2 linked regions of the Macaca fascicularis genome follow. The protein of the gene in region 1 interacts with the protein of each later gene in a pairwise test. Links are inferred from orthologs where the notes say so. Each region holds a gene or a part of one and is shown on either strand. Other genes may lie near its edges.

Evidence for each region.
Region 2: the proteins of MYO5B (region 1) and RAB25 interact in binary tests that used the Homo sapiens proteins (3 or more experiments, as listed by UniProt). The link is inferred for Macaca fascicularis from reciprocal best matches to the Homo sapiens genes MYO5B and RAB25.

Annotation. Positions count from the first base shown.
Region 1 is NC_088392.1:39,551,779-39,556,162, forward strand, and holds the start of MYO5B (unconventional myosin-Vb), read left to right. Parts: upstream 1-1,473; 5' UTR 1,474-1,667; coding exon 1,668-1,694; intron 1,695-4,384. UniProt on the Homo sapiens protein: May be involved in vesicular trafficking via its association with the CART complex. The CART complex is necessary for efficient transferrin receptor recycling but not for EGFR degradation.
Region 2 is NC_088375.1:105,020,027-105,024,430, reverse strand, and holds the start of RAB25 (ras-related protein Rab-25), read left to right. Parts: upstream 1-1,569; 5' UTR 1,570-1,811; coding exon 1,812-1,854; intron 1,855-4,404. UniProt on the Homo sapiens protein: The small GTPases Rab are key regulators of intracellular membrane trafficking, from the formation of transport vesicles to their fusion with membranes.

The DNA.
Region 1 (4,384 bases):
TAGGTCTGCAGTGGAGCCCAATAACCTGTATTTCTAACAAGTTACCAGGTGATGCTGATGGTGGGCATGGGGGGTGGGGACACACTTTAAGAGTTACAGGAATCCGGGGAAGGGAACCATGCAGAAAAACTTTTGAGGACGAGAAAAAAAAATTCCTTTCTGCTCTTGCCACTGATATGAAGAGTTCCATTTTAGGTCCAATGAGAGTCACCCAAGCTTTGGTCAATGCATGTGTCACCCTGGAAGTACCGTCCTTTAGACTTTCAGAGGAGCTTTAAAAATTGGGATACCCAGGTCCCTTCCTTCATTAAATCAGAATTCCTTGGGTTGGGGCCTCTTCCTTGGATCGCTTAAAGCTCCCCAGTTGACTCTCATTGTGGAGGCGCCCACGGGAAGGCCTGCACAGGTGAATTACAACGGGATCTTGCGTTCCAGGTGGGATGCCTCTGAGAATCACCTTCTGAGGCTCCTGAACAACTGCCCCGGCTGGTATAGATAGATCTTCTGGTGGAGAACCACTTTTCAGGGGCCACCCCTGGTTCAGGGACACATGCCACCTTCAGAAGGGAGTGTCTCGTCTGACAGCCCTGGTCTCCTTCCACAGACTCCTGGCAGTCTTTTTTTTTCTTGACTGAAATTTCTACTTTTCACTGGAAGTAGGAGAAGAGCTGAAGTTGCTGTAGGCAGCCAAGTGCCATGGGCAGAGAGGGAACACAAATAAACGAGGTAGTGAGTGGCAGAAAGACCGGGAGTCTGCATGTAGGAGAGACGGGGGTTGGGAGAACGTGAGACTTCCCGGAAAAGCAAGAGCCCTCTGAGAGGAGTGGCCTGGAGTCTCCTTGGAGGCTGTGGGCGAAAGTGGCCAATATTTGTACAGAAGAAGTTACGACTCCCACCTTTCTGACGGATTTCCGCGCAGAGAGTTCAGTTTGAAGGAGAAGATCCTTGGTGTACGTATGTCCAGGTCGCCTTAATAACGATCTACGAGTAACTGAATTTTAATGAAAGCGCTGAATACAGCCAGGTAAAATCGAGGACAACGTCCGGGGCCTTCCAGCCATAGAAGTTTCTCTCTTTTCCCCGCTCTCTGGTTAGTTCCTCTCCCCTTTTCTTGTGTGCACCGCGTGCGTGCCGGACTCCGCCGGGCCGGGTGCGGGTGGAAGGGCAGGTGCTGGCACCGGGGCGCACCTGTGCCTGCGCGTGCGGCGTCCAGCAGGGGGCGGCCCGCGCCGGTCCCCGAGCTCCGCTCTGAGCGCCCCGCCCCCGGCCCGGAGGCCCAGGTGGCAGCGGGGGCGCGGGAGGGCGCGTCGGGCCGGGCACCGGCAGGGCTCAGAGGCGCGGCGGCGCACGGGCAGTCCGCTCTGACGCGCGCGGGTCCTCCCTCCTCCCTACACCTGGGCGGGGAGCGGCGTCGCGCTGCCTCCTCCCCCGGCGCTCGCAACTCCTGTCCGGCCGCTGCTGCGCCGCCGCCGCAGGAGTAAAGGTCGCGCCGCCGGGAGCGAGCCGGCCGCTGTGCCTCCGGGAAGCCGGCGGGGCAGATCGGAGAAGAGCGAGAAGATCGAGAAACTCCAGGCCAGCCCGGGAACATGGCGCCAGGCGGGCCGGCCGCGGACTGAGAGCCGCGGTGCAACGGGGAGCCGGGGCTTGAGCCCCGCCCGGCCCGGGCCATGTCGGTGGGCGAGCTCTACAGCCAGGTGAGCGCAGCCGCGGGAGAGGCGCCGCGGGGCCGGGGCGGAGCGCTCGGGGCCACCTGGCACTCAGGGTCGCCTTCTCCCTCGGCTACTGGAGGCGGGAGGTGACGGGAGACCCCTCCTGGTGTCCCCCGCGTCTCCGTCCTCGGCGTCCCTAACTTCTGTTGGCGGAGAAAGTTTAGCGGTTCCGGGAACGCCCGCACTGACCGGCCGCCCGGCTCCTGGAGATTCCGCAGCGCCACGGCTCAGCCCCAAGCCGGTGCTGTCGCCCCCTCCCCGCCGCGCCCCTCACTTTCGTTGCCTGGGCTGGGTTCCAGCTGAGTTCCCCGAACCGCGGGGGCGACTCTGCCAGCTCTGAGCGCCGTGCTCGGACGGTCCCCCGCGGTGCGCCCGCCGCTGTCCCCTGTCCCCGCCGTGGACCCCGCCCCAGGGGCTCTGCGGCGCCGGCTCTCGAGGGTTCGCCTCCGAGGCGTCCTTTCCTCACGCATACCCACAACAGGGAACCCTGGACTTGGGAGAGGTGGGGGTTCTGGACTTGGTGGAGAGGGAGGAGACTCAACCTGGTGTGAGGGCGCGGCAGCTGGATGGAGTGGGGGTAAGCGATGGGTAGAGGGGTGCTCCGTTATCTCCGGAGACCCCAGGGAAGAGCATTGTGAATTTGCTGGGGATGGGTATTTTGACGCGGCCCCTCTGGTACCAAGAGAGCTTCAGTGACTGTGGGGAAGGGGGTTGGAGTAAAGCCGAACTGGGAGCAGGGTGTGAGTTTCAGGATGCCTTCAAGGTCAGAAGGGATGTGCGAGGCTGGGTGCTCCGAATCCGGAACAGGTGCAGCCTGGGCGGAGACGCCCGCGTTCCGCAGCAGTTGCTGTGGTTAAAGTTAGGGACGAGCCACCGCTTCCAGGGGAGCTGGAGGCAGCGCTGCAGCCGTCCGGGACCCCTCAAGTTTCACCCTGGAGTCAGGAGTGAGATGGGCAAAGGCCTTTTCTTCACATGTGCCCTTTAGGAAAACAAGTTTTGGATAGTCCAATGCCTGGTTTTCCTGTTCATCTTCTTGGGTGGCCAAAACACATTCGACAGTGCCTGTGCACACGCCTCCGTGCAGAGTTGTGTGTGCGTGTGGTGTCCGCGCGCGTTGTGTGGGTGTGCGATTCCTGGGACACCCGCCCGGGCCATCAGGTCTGGGCTGGGTAGGAACAGTCACTTCTGCGTCCTTACCTGGAGAGCACTCGCGGCTGTCCAGCACATGTGGGGGAGCCCTTCTGCTCCGTGGACTGGCAACCCTTCTAAGTTTGAGGAATTTTAAACTCTCGCCTTCCTCCTGGAGCGGGGAGCAGGGCCGGGATGGGTTCACGCTCATGAAGGTGGCCGCGGAGGCTGTCACCTGGCTGGGGGTGGGGACGCAGCAGCCTCAGATACTACTTCCTAGCCCACCAGGGACCTCCTGTGCAGCGATCAGGGATGGGCGACGGCCTCTGGGGGAGGAGGGGAGGAGGCGAGGAGGCGGGAGCCAGGGCGTCAACTCTGTGGCAGTCCTAGGCTTGGAATGGCACTCCACCCCTCTTGGCTGTGGAGGTATTGGGAGGATCCCTAAAAGCTCAGGTTTTTTCCCTGAAGCCGGTTAGGTTTTCAGGAGCTGGGACTGGAGGCTGGAAGCCAGTGAAGGCAGGGGAAAAATCTGAACTGGAGTGCTCAAAGCCGAAGCTTTGTTACATTAAAGTGCATGGAGATGCAAATTGTACTCCTAAGTAAAAGGAGTGACTCAACTGAATATACCTCCAATGTGTCAAAGTCCTTTGTCAGGCAATATTGAATTGCTGTTATTATATGAGGGGGAGAGTTTGTGGGGTAAAATGGAGTTAAAAGTTTAAAAATATAAACTTTATTTCTCAACGCAATTTCCATCAAGTTCAAGACACTTTTGAAAGTTATACCAGCCACCTAGTTCATCCCTAAAGAACCGAGGGTCCTGGGAATTTAACCATGCCAATGCAGTCTTACATTATTAACTGGAAAAAATGCAGGTCATTAACTTCGAGATTAGGACACAAAGTCAGAAGGAGCCAAATCAGGACTGTGAGGTGGACGCCTAATAGTTTTCCATAGAAACTCTTGCAAAATTGCTCTTCTTTGAGAGGAATGAGGAGATTGTTGTGGCAGAAAATGACTTTTCTGGTGACGTTTCCTTGGTGTTTTTCTGCTAAAGCTTTGACTTCCTGAAGACACTTGTAATAAGCAGATGTCATCATCATTTGGTCTTCTAGAAAGTCAAGCAAAATGGCTTGAGCAGTCCTCCAAAATGCTGCTATGATCTCTGCTCTGAACCAGTCCACCTTTGCTGTGACTGGACCTCTTTCACCTCTTGGAAGTCTTTGCTTTGATTGGGCTTTGTCTTCAGGATTATACTGGGAGAGCCACATTTTATCCCCTGTTACAATTCAAAGAAATGCTTCAGGGTCTTGATCCCACTTGTTTAGAATTTCCATCCAAAGCTCTGCTCTTGTCTGCAGTTGATCTGGGTGCAGCAGTTTTGGTATCCATCAAGTGGGAACTTTGCTCAACTTTATTTTCGGTCAGAATCATGTAAGCCGAACCAATTGAGATGTCTGTGGTGTCGGCTGTTGTTTCTACCATTAATTGTCAGCCCTCTTCAATTAGGGAACAGATAAGATGCTTCCCCCCACAAATGGATGTGG
Region 2 (4,404 bases), on another chromosome or scaffold:
CTGAGTAGCTGGGATTACAGACTCCCGCCACCACGCCTGGCTAATTTTTGTATAGTTTTAGTAGGGACGGGGTTTCACCACATTGGTCAGGCTGGTCTCGAACTCCTGCCATTGCGATCCGCTGGCCTCAGCCTCCTAAAGTGCTGGGATTATAGGTGGGAGCCACTGCACGAGGCCTCTTTTTTTTTTTTTTTTTGAGATGGAGTCTTGCTCTGTCGCCCAGGCTGGAGTACAGTGGCGCGATCTTGGCTCACTGCAAGCTCCGCCTCCTGCGTTCATGCCGTTCTCCTGCCTCAGCCTCCCGAGTAGCTGGGACTACAGGTGCCCGCCACCTTGCCTGGCTAATTTTTTGTATTTTTAGTAAAGATGGGGTTTCACTGTGTTAGCCAGGATGGTCTCACTCTCCTGACCTCATGATCCGCCCGCCTGGGCCTCCCAAAGTACTGGAATTACAGGTGTGGGCCACCGCACCCGGCCTTTTTTTTTTTTTTTGAGGAGTCTCTGTTGCCCAGGCTGGAGTGCAGTGGCAGGATCTCAGCTCACTGGAACCTCTGCCTCCCAGGTTCAAGCAAGTCTCCTACCTCAGCCTCCCAAGTAGCTGGGATTACAGGCACCCGCCACCACATCCAGCCAATTTTTTTTTTTTTTTGAGACGGAGTTTCGCTCTTGTTGCCTAGGCTGGAGTGCAATGGTGCGATCTCGACTCACCACAACCTCCGCCTCCTGGGTTCAAGCAATTCTCTTGCCTCAGCCTCCCCAGTAGCTGGGATTATAGCCATATGCCACCACGCCCAGCTAATTTTGTATTTTTTTAGTAGAGACGGGGTTTCTGCATGTTGGTCAGGCTGGTCTCGAACTCCCGACCTCAGGTGATCCGCCTGCCTCGGCCTCCCAAAGTGCTGGGATTACAGGCGTGAGCCACCGCGCCTGGCCTCAAGTGGATTTCTTTTTTTTTTTTTTTTTTTTTTTTTGAGACGGAGTCTTGCTCTGTCACCCAGGCTGGAGTGCAGTGGCCGGATCTCAGCTCACTGCAAACTCCGCCTCCCGGGTTTACGCCATTCTCCTGCCTCAGCCTCCCAAGTAGCTGGGACTACAGGTGCCCGCCACCTCGCCCGGCTAGTTTTTTTTTTTTTTTTGTATTTTTTAGTAGAGACGGGGTTTCACCGTGTTAGCCGGGATGGTCTCTCGATCTCCTGACCTCGTGATCCGCCCGTCTCGGCCTCCCAAAGTGCTGGGATTACAGGCTTGAGCCACCGCGCCCGGCCATCAGGTGGATTTCTAAGGGGCTATTTCTTGCTCATTAGTTGGAGGACTTGCCCTCACCACAGATTCCAGAAGCCCAGCAATGCACACTCAGCCCTCAGTGGGCTGTCTCTGAAGGTCCTCTCTCTGAAGGTCCTGTCTCTGAAGGTCCTGTCCCTTTTTAGCTTTCCCCCAACCCCGCTGGAGCTGGTTCTCCAGCTTGCGGGAGGCCAGGCTGACAGCAGACACCCAACCTGTCGAACCTGTCTGACGTCATCGTCTCTCCACCCACCTGGGCCCCAGGTCTCCAGCCACCCTGCTCTTCCTGTTCTCAGCTTCCGTCCTCTCAGCTTCCTTACAGCACCCCCACCTGCCAGAGCTAATCCTCCCTCGGCCCTGCCTAACCTTGAGTTGGCCCCCAATCCCTCTGGCTGCAGAAGTCCCCTTACCCCTAATGAGAGGAGGGGCAGGACCAGATCTTTTGAGAGCTGAGGGTTGAGGGTATTGAGCCAACACAGACTTGTCATCTCTACCCCTGAAGACACCTGTACCCTCCATGCGGAGCCAAGATGGGGAATGGAACTGAGGAAGATTATAACTTTGTCTTCAAGGGTGAGTTGGGTTCCCTGAAGCAAGAGGAAGCCTGAGAGACCCAGAAAGAGATTGATAGAGCCAGAGAGGGCCCCATCCTGGGACTCCTCATTCCTTCAGAAAGAAAGCTGTAGGGAGTGGGGGAGGGCCTGGTTGCAGGGGCAAAAGTGAGGGAGCTTCTGAGTATGCTCTACTGTGGTAAATAATGACGTTGATCCCTCCTTAAGAGTGCTGAGTTAGGCTCCTCTGCCCCGTTCCTAATAGAAACCCAAATCCCTAGTGTCAGCCAGGGCAGCACAAGAGATGGAGGTCAGACTTCAGAAAGGACTTCCCTCTTTTTTTTTTCTTTTTGAGATGGAGTCTTGCTCTGTCCCCCAGGCTGCAGTGCAGTGGCATGATCTCGGCTCACTGCAACCTCCGCCTCCCAGGTTCAAGCGATTTCTGCCTCAGCCTCCCGAGTAGCTGGGACTATAGGCGCCTGCCACCATGCCCGGCTTATTTTTGTATTTTTAGTAGAGACAGGGTTTCACCATTTTGGCCAGGATGGTCTGGAACTCCTGACCTCATGATCTGCCCGCCTTGGCCTCCCAAAGTGCTAGGATTACAGGCATGAACCACCGCACCCAGCCAGGACTTCTCTCTTGAGAAGAAAGGGAAACCAGCAGACAAGAGGAAGAAAGTCATCTTTTCTGGGCAGGTATACAGGGAAGGAGAGAAAGGAGAGACCTATCCCATTATAGGGTGGGGCAATAAATACATAGGGAAGACAGAAAATATCATGAATTTGCCACAGAGTCTGATAGAATCCAGAGGAGTCCTAGGGTTGTAGCCTCGTCTGCCTGTCCCTTGGCCGACTCACTGGATCTGCATACCAGGCACTGGGCTCAACTTGGCTGTCCCTGGAAGCAAGCATGTATCTTTCTAGCCCCTGCTTTTGGTCCCTTTGCTGTTTCCCAGCCCCACCTTCATACTTCCTTTAGGGCAGGGTGGACTCTACAGCCACCCTACCCCGCTGCCTCTCCCAACCTCAGCCCAGCCCTCCCTTGAGCTGGGACTCTCACTCCAGCACCCGCCCTGGATCTGGGGAACCTGTACTACTGGCATCTTTTTCAGGAAGGAAAGGGTTAGCAATAGTCTGGGGCAATAATATGAGGAACTACCATTTATTGAGCATTTACTATATACCAGCCACTACCTCATTCATACCATAACAATCCCCAAAAGTCATCTTTTATTTTGAGGGGCAGTGTAACATGGTCAGGAGCCAGACTGGGTTCAGATCTCAGCCCTGCCACTTACAAGTATTGTGGGTTGGTCAGCCGGGCGCGGTGACTTACGCCTGTAATCCTAGCACTTTGGGAGGCTGAGGCGGCAGGATCACTTAAGGTCGGGAGTTCCAGACCAGCCTGGCCAACATGGGGAAACCCTGTCTCTACTAAAAATTAAAAAATTAGGGCCGGGCGCGGTGGCTCAAGTCTGTAATCCCAGCACTTTGGGAGGCCGAGACGGGCGGATCACAAGGTCGGGAGATCGAGACCATCCTGGCTAACACGGTGAAACCCCGTCTCTACTAAAAAATACAAAAACCTAGCTGGGCGAGGTGGCGGGCGTCTGTAGTCCCAGCTACTCGGGAGGCTGAGGCAGGAGAATGGCGTGAACCCGGGAGGCGGAGCTTGCAGTGAGCTGAGATCCGGCCACTGCACTCCAGTCTGGGCGACAAAGCGAGACTCTGTCTCAACAACAACAAAAAAAAAAATTAAAAAATTATCTGAGTGTGGTGGCACGTGCCCATAATCCCAGCTACTCGGGAGGCTGAGACAGGAGAATTGCTTGAACCCAGGAGGCGGAGGTTGCAGTGAGCCGAGATTGTGCCACTGCACTGCAGCCTGGGCAACAGAGCAAGACTCTGTCTTTAAAAAAAAAAAAAGTATTGAGGGTTGGGGTCCCTAGAAGCAGACGCTGAGAAGTTGGGGTGTTCAATGTTTGTTTGTTTGTTTTTTGAGACGTAGTCTCGCTCTGTTGCCCAGGCTGGAGTGCAGTGGAGTGATCTCTGCTCACTGCAACCTCCACCTCCCTGCAACCTTCGCTTCTTGGGTTCAAGGGATTCTCCTGCCTCAGCCTCCTGAGTAGCTAGGACTACAAGTGTGCACCACCACGCCCAGCTAATTTTTGTATTTTTAGTAGAGATGGGGTTTCATCATGTTGGCCAGGATGGTCTCAATCTCTTGACCTTGTGATCCGCCCTCCTAGGCCTCCCAAAGTGCTGGGATTACAGGCATGAGCCACTGCGCCCAGCTCAATTTTTTTTATGAATCAGCACCTGTGAAAGGAAGGGAGAGGAAACATTATTGGGCAGAGGGAGAAGTTAAACAGCAACACAGGCTCGACAAAACCTGGGTCAAGGGCAGGGAGCTCTGTGATTGCCTCACCTTGCTTGAGCACTGGGTGTAGGCTGCCCAGAAAAGGCATGACTTCCAGTGAGGCCGCTGTCTGCACCAGAGGCAGATGCTGAAGGAGCTGACAGCTGGAGCCTGTCTGCAGCTTGCACTCCCTGCAGCTTGGGGGCAAGTC